Linked DNA regions of Mus musculus. The main gene of each other region encodes a partner of the protein of the gene in region 2 in a complex. Links are inferred from orthologs where the notes say so. Each region holds a gene or a part of one and is shown on either strand. Other genes may lie near its edges.

Region 1 (3,650 bases), on a different chromosome or scaffold from region 2:
AACTGATTTTGAAGTACAATCAAATCCAAATTTACTATCTGTTCAATGCTCTTAAACCTGAATTCTGCAGCTTGTATGTTCTAAATATATTCAGCCCCGTAACTATCTTCTGGAAGTCTACTTACAGAGGAAGGATGCTGCTCAAAGGGAGTCAGAGTCTAAGTCTCATTTTCCTACTCACCTCAGAGTCCTCCAACCCTTTAAAACAGTCCAGTGTTCCCAAGAAACCCACCTTTGAACCACTGTAAAGCCACCAGCTATTGTTGCACATGTTATGAAGTGATGGGTTTCTTCTTGTTTTTCAATTCTGAGAATCTTCTATAAGTGCATTAATGTGATTTCACTGTGTTTTTAAAAGTCCTAAACCATTCTAAGTTGATTCTTCTCAGAGACGGCATGAGTCTGTCTTAGCAGAGTGTAACAGTGCAGGGCTCCACTGTTTCTCAGTTGCTTTCTGTATTCTGAGAGCTACTCAGAACTTCCCCTCAGACTGAACATTGGAATCATCTATGACACACCCATCTAGCACAATAAGTGCCTTTTAAGCATCAGAGACTATTTTTCTTTAATATATTAGCCTTAAGATCTGAATACAGTACATCTCACCAGGAGCCAGATAGACAAATACCTTGACTTTTGCCTTCTAGGCCTTCAGCACAAAGGCTTCCCATAAAATAAATCAGAAAGACTGCTCGGTAGGTAGTATTTGCTCTGATCTCTGAAAAACTTTAACTCCACTGACTTTGTATATTACATGAGACATTCTTGTGGGACACGATCACTTTTGAAGAAGCGTTGCAAGTAAATTGATCTGACCTTGAATGGGGCTCCATAGATAGATTCTCCACCAGTCCCAGTGCCTGTGGGATCTCCACCTTGGACTATAAAGCCAGGTACAACTCTATGAAAAATGGTGTTGTCATAGTAGGCTGAAAAATAATATATCAAGTTCTAAAAGTTAGTATCACTTTAATTATCACAGTTAATATACAAACAGAGCCACAAGATTTAATTTCCAGAATGCTAAATTGGCTTTTAAACCAAAACCTTTCCTCTCCACTTCTTAGAAAACAATCAATTTTCAAACACTATATGTTTCTACAGAGACAATGGTGGTTTAGTTTTGGGGGATTGGTTTGTTTGTCTTTAATCTCCATAATTATCAATTATAAATTACTGTTTTTAAATTAAAAATAAGAAGTTTAATACACACCAATGTCTTTCAACTGGAGGAAAGAGAAGAAGCAATTCTGCACCCTGGGGGCATTTATCAACATTTTCAAATATTTTTGGCTATCAAAACTGGGAAAACTGGGAAATACTACTGGCATCTTGTACAAGATGGCAAGAATACTGCTAAGCATCCTGAAGCCCAAAGGATTGTTTCTGCAACAAAAAATATCCAATCCCAAAGGCTAGCACTGCTGGGGCTCAGAAGCCTAGGTAGGAGATAGCTCATTTTTGCCTCTTCCATTTCTCCTGATAGAAAATTAACTTAATAATGTACAAAAAATATAAACCTGCAGATAGAAGTTCTAGCACTGTCTGTGCAGTCTCCTTTACGTTCAATAAGTGAAATAACGTACTTTATTCTAATTAAATATCTAAGTGATTTTTCAGAAATTATTTATATATAAAAATATAATTTCTAGTCACAAATATGCAGCATCAGTGGTCTCCCTTAGAATGCCTGGTATGAGACCAGAATCATTGAGAAGGAAAACACTAGTTAAGTAGGACAGAAGCATAGGACATCCCCTAAGAAAACTGAAACTGTTGCCTTTTGCTTTCTTTTCCTTCCTTTGTAACAATTTTATATTTTAAGTCCAAGATTAAATCTATAATTACAGATATTTGGGTTTTTCAAAGGATATGACCACCTTTCTTTTTTTTTTCCAACTTTTTATTAGGTATTTACTTCATTTACATTTCAGCCCCTCCCATCCATGCTTTCAATCATTTGCTTTTATTCTGAAAACTACACATTGTTGCTGCTATTGCTATACTGAAAGGTGCATTATAAGACTCAGAAATATTGTAACTTCTTCAAATCATTCTTCCTAAAGATTAAATAGAGTTATCTACATTATTTGACTCACCTAAGAAATACCTATCTTTTTACAAGTGTATGCATGTTTTGCCTGCATGTATGTCTGCACACCACATTCATGCTTGGTGACCATGAAGGCCAGAGGCAGCACAGGATCTTCCAGAAGTAGAGCTGCTGCTGACTGTGTACCGCCATGCGGGTGCTTGGAATTGGACCCCAGACCTCTGACAGGGCAGCCAGTCCTAAATATTAAGTCTTCAGCAGACGTAAGAGCTGAAGTGCCAAGCCATCTCTCCACCGGTCTTCTCAGGTTTTCAGTTAGTTAGCAATAATTTCATTCAATTCTTACCTGTTTAATCATTACAAATATTGCTCTGGTTATCTCTATGTCTGTAAAATTTCCATTCATTTCTTCTACTTATAAAAATGGGAGGATATTTTTTTTCGTTTTGATGCAGGTAAGCTTTGTCAGCCCCCAACTGAACCTCATGCTTATTTCATTGCTGTATTCTGTCCAGATTCTTTCTGTCTATTTATTCACCTGCTCCACGGATTGCAATTTACCATTCATCCTTTCTAGTGTTTTTGTGATTTCACTTTCCTGTAAAATTTGAGCTTCTTTAAACTTATTACCAGAAGTCAGACTTTTCTTTGTCTCATGTGTTTCTTAGCTTTGTTGACAGTTATTCTAACTAAACTACCTGTCTGATTTTATTTCCTTCCTGCCTGCCACAGCAATTACTAATAATGGTCTTTGCAGACCTGTTTTCTTCGTCTCATCTGAGGGACTGGATTCTTTTATCATTATGTCCTTACACTTTCCCCTGTCATGATAGATTTATCTAATTTCTTCTATTTGGAGAGCTTTGTCCATATCATATGACAGGACACTCTGGATTCTTAAATACTTTGTTTCTGACACCACAAAGAACACTGTCTCTAAAAATCAGGTCTAACTGGAAGACAATGACTTGCCACCACTGGAGACATTTAAAGTCGTATGTAGTACATTCTATACGCCAACAAGAAACTGTGAAAACTGTATGAAATGTAAAGCTGCATAAACAATTATTCAAGAATAAAAAATACTAAGTGAATATAAAATTTTGCAAAGCTTCTTATAAAGAAAAATTATCATGTTATGACACAGAGTGATAATGAATCAGGCCAGGTGGTAAGCTTTATGGAAAGCAGACTTTGAACAAAGTGATAAAAATTGGCTTTACTTCCATAAAAAGAGAGTGAAAAACATGGAAAGAAAGGAAGAAAGAAAGAAAGAAAGAAAGAAAGAAAGAAAGAAAGAAAGAAAGGAAGGAAGGAAGGAAGAAAGAAAGAGAGAGAAAGAGAGAGAGGGGGGAAGGAAGGAAGGAAGGAAGGGAGGAAGGAAGGAAGGAAGGAAGGAAGGAAGGAAGGAAGGAAGGAAGGAAGGAAGCAAACAAGCAAGCTAGCTAATATGAGGATTGTGGAAAAGGAAATAGAATGTTCAGGAAATAGAGGGAATGGCTGACTGGAAGCACATGATTAGTGGAATGAAAAAGAGTGGAAAGCTAGAAGCCAGGTCCTTAAAGATTCCAATATCATGTGTATGGACAGAAGGCAA
Region 2 (3,750 bases):
AAAATTATAATAAAGAAGCAGAGCTTACTGCCCCAGGCATTTGATGCCAGCCCCTAGGAAGCAGAGCCAGGCAGATCTCTGTGAGTTCAAGACCAGCCTGGTCTACATAGTAAGTTCCAGGCCAGCCAGGGCTACATAGTGAGACCTTGTCCCTGTTTAAAAAATAAACAAAATTCTTGGAGAAGCCAGGCCTGGTTTACAAAATACTTTGAAATATAAAGATGATGTTGTTTTAGGAAGAGCTTTCCAATCACATTAGCATGCTCTTTAACACTTACCTTTTGGTAACACTGAAAATCAAAGACTAAGGAAACAGTATAATTGAGGCCAGTGCTCTAAACTCGTTACAGATTTCACATTCCAACCCTGAAAGTATCATAAATACAACTTGCTTCTTTTTTTTTTAATTTTTTAATTAATTAATTAATTTATTTATTTTCGGAGACAGGGTTTCTCTGTATAGCCCTGGCTGTCCTGGAACTCACTTTGTAGACCAGGCTGGCCTCGAACTCAGAAATCCACCTGCCTCTGCCTCCAGAGTGCTGGGATTAAAGGCATGTGCCACCACGCCAGGCAACTTGCTTCTTTTCTTTTTTCACCTTCCTCTCTCTCTCTCTCTCTCTCTCTCTCTCTCTCTCTCTCTCTTTCAAGACAGGGGCTCATTATGTAGCTCTGGATGTCTTGGAACACACAGTGCCAGTCTCAGCCTCCAAAATATTTGGAGTAAAGGCAGACACCACCATGTTGGGCCTCCAATTTACTTCTCACTGTCCTTACAACATATCATTTATAATCAGATAGTCTTCCATTCACTTGAATTTAAAATCTTGGAACTTAATAGATACTAAACATTTTGTCACTTTCCCCTCTTCTCCCAAACAGACTTTTGGTAAAGCTTCTGTCAAAAATCTGAAAGGGATCGCTACTTTTTTTATTATTTTCAGGCAAGGTATTATATAGTAAGCCTCTGCGGTAGTTTCATAGTATGTATCTTAGTGTTAAGCTTTTACACTGAAAAAAAAAAAAAAGAAAGAAAAGCTACGGTGTCTACTAAGAGCTACTTTTTATGGCTTTAGAAGATGAGTAGTGTTAGAATAAGAAGCATGCCTCGAAAACCTAGCTCTCAAAAGTGTCTCTAGTGTGACCTCCTATCCGAACGAACTACAATTCCCGTCATGCACTGCGGTCCAACTACAACTCATTTCCGTCCGCGCTGCCAGAGCATGCTGGACTTTGTAGTTCACTCGGACTCACATGTTCTTTTCTCGTGTTCTTTGTAAGGAATGACAGTGTTACTAGCTGGATTGCTTTGACTCAAGGTGTTACTATACCGCATTATCATTAATCGTATCACATACCTGCCAATTCACTACCAGTTTTTCACTAATTTCTCGCGCTACTTTCACCCGGGAAAGGGAACTGACGCTCTTCCGGTATGATGGCGGCGCGGTGGAGCTTTAGGTAATTACGGAACTCTGAAGACTCGGGATAGACTAGGAGCCAGAGTGGGGGCGGCGGGTTGCTAGGTCGCGTGGAGAGGGCAGGGACTTGCGAGTGGGCGCTTGCCCGGTGGGCCTTGCTTTCCTCATGTGGCTGCGCCGTCTCCACCGGCGGCCCGCGAGGTGCCGTGTGAGCCGGCTGGGCCTAGCGCCGGCGGCGGGGCGTGCGTGTCTGGGCCTTGGTCTGGGTTGTCGGTGAACACCTCTCCTGGGAGCACCCTGGGTCGCGTCCCCAGTCGGCGTCCCGGGGCTGGCATTAATAAATTCTGGTAACGCGTTTGCCTCATTCCAGCTTATCCCAGTAGCCAATTCTATTACATTTTCATTTATGGATCGTTTTCATTGACTTGACTGAACCCCTGTCATGTTTAGCCCTAGTGATCCATGTTTCGCATCTTCTGTGTTTAGGTCGCATACGTAGTTAACCTTAACTCTAAAAGCCTCTACTATTTGCAACTTCCAAACATGGGTTTGCAGTTCCTGCCCCTAGCGAGCTGCAGGCCCTACAGTACAAACAGCACTGTGCCAGCTGTTTGACCTGCTCTAAATGCAAGACTTTTTTGATACATTGTAGCCACTTAACTCGCCCCCCCGCCCCCCGGAAGAATAATTTGGGGAAAGGTATTAATAGAAACAGTAACTGAGCCCCGGCAAGCCGTTGGTGAGTTTGCCCAGTGGTTAAAAGCACTCTTTCAGAGGGATCTAGGTTCGATCCAAGCACCCACAAGATGGATCACAACAAATTATAATATCAGATTCAGGGGACTGGATACCTGCTTGCTGATAGCCACTTGCACCAGCAACTTGAACTGTCCCTATATGTATATGAAGGCAAAAAAGATCCATACATGTGAAAATGAGCTACCTTTTCTGTTAATTGTGCTCTGTATTTAAACTGCCTTTTGTTTATTTATTTTTCCTGTTCTCTGTGTAGTCTTGACTGTCTTGGAACTCACTCCTTAGAGCAGGCTGACCTCAAATTTAAAGAGTTCTGCCTGCCTCTGCTTTCTGAGTGCTGGGATTAAAGGTGTGGGCTAGCCGGGTTTAGACTGGTTATTTTAGTTGAGTCCTACCTTGTTCATGACTGGCCCAGTCAGACTCAGTCTGGAAATAGACCAGTTCCAGAAAGAAGTGATTATCGGTAATACAGCAGATTGGAACTAATGTCTTTGAGGGTTTTTCTGTCAGATTTCCCTTGTTTTCTCTGTAAGTCTGAAATTACTGCAGGAACTCTAGCCAGCTTGAATGTGGTGGACAAGGCTCTCCTTCCCAAGTCCCCGTGTCTTGTTAAAAACCGTTAGATCACATTCCTCAAGCTAGCCCCCAAGATCTGTTCCCTGATCTAACCTGCAGAGATCCAGCTATCAAAGCATTGAAGTCCAACAATCCAAAACCTCTCTGGGGTCAACTAATTGACATGCCCAATTTAAATTAAATACCTCAGCCTAACCCCTCTACCCGCTACGCTAATATTTTCCTATATGTATGTCTTCTCTCTATCCAGAGACAGTCCTTTGTTCCCTTGGGACAAATACCCCTTTACCCTCTCCCTTGTTCCCTTCCCCTTCTCCCTCATCCTAGTGTCCTGTCTTTGTCTCCTGTTTCTTGCCCTTTGTCCTTCTGGGGCAAATAAGTCTCCTTTGTGCAGAGAACACGCTCTTGGAGTGTCTTGAGCCAACTTTGAGGTTCCCTACAATTACGAGCAAGGGAGGCCGATGGAGCACTAAGGATTTCAGAAAACTCTCAGGCTTGTTAACACTTTTTCTTACACCTCCCAAGTAAACATGGGAGAAGACAGTTGAATGCTTACCTCAGCACAAACTTTGAAGACATTTTTTAAAATGTTTTTTTTAAAAAGATAGCACACATGGGCAGGGGAGTGGATTCAAACAAGCCTTTGCCTATCGTGCCATGTTAGTAAATGCCAGTGAACAGAAAGGAAAGAAAGTGTGGGGCATCCTTTTTTAGGAAAAGCTTCAATGATTAAAGAATTGATAACTTAGTAAGCGAGACCCAGAATTAACTGTTTTTAATCTATCTTTGAGCCTAACTCAGTAGTGGCTTAAGCCAGGCAAAGTTCAATACTTCCTCCTTGAAAATTTATCCTGTGGGTGCTCTGAATCACTTTACAAGGGGAGGCTCTTTCTAGATCAGAGCTTCTGTGATGGGTGGTCGAGCTTGGTGTCTAGAGGCTACATGGTAATATTTCCTTTACACCAGAATATGCTCAGAAGAAAAAAGTATACAAACA

Evidence for each region.
Region 1: the proteins of Cwc22 (region 2) and Cwc27 are in contact, whole or in part, in a crystal structure (PDB 6YVH), measured with the Homo sapiens proteins. The link is inferred for Mus musculus from reciprocal best matches to the Homo sapiens genes CWC22 and CWC27. Residues at the interface, in NP_001362958.1 of Homo sapiens: Leu239, Arg242, Lys243, Tyr245, Arg246, Asn248, Asp249, Lys250, His270, Glu271, Val272, Leu275, Glu276, Thr279, Leu280, Leu281, Glu283, Arg284, Thr286, Asp288, Ser289, Val292, Val307, Ser308, Pro309, Arg310, Gly311, Thr367, Met369, Leu372; in NP_005860.2 of Homo sapiens: Arg381, Glu382, Asp383, Gln384, Thr385, Leu386, Leu388, Leu389, Phe392, Lys393, Lys395, Leu396, Thr397, Ile400, Glu412, Asp415, Asp416, Glu417, Gly418, Trp419, Met420, Ser421, His422, Val423, Leu424, Gln425, Phe426.

What each region holds. Positions count from the first base shown.
Region 1 is NC_000079.6:104,806,904-104,810,553, forward strand, and holds part of Cwc27 (spliceosome-associated protein CWC27 homolog), read right to left. Parts: intron 930-3,650; coding exon 817-929; intron 1-816. UniProt on the Homo sapiens protein: As part of the spliceosome, plays a role in pre-mRNA splicing. Probable inactive PPIase with no peptidyl-prolyl cis-trans isomerase activity. As a component of the minor spliceosome, involved in the splicing of U12-type introns in pre-mRNAs.
Region 2 is NC_000068.7:77,943,861-77,947,610, reverse strand, and holds the start of Cwc22 (pre-mRNA-splicing factor CWC22 homolog), read left to right. Parts: upstream 1-1,254; 5' UTR 1,255-1,461; intron 1,462-1,465; exon of another isoform or gene 1,466-3,750. UniProt on the Homo sapiens protein: Required for pre-mRNA splicing as component of the spliceosome. As a component of the minor spliceosome, involved in the splicing of U12-type introns in pre-mRNAs. Promotes exon-junction complex (EJC) assembly.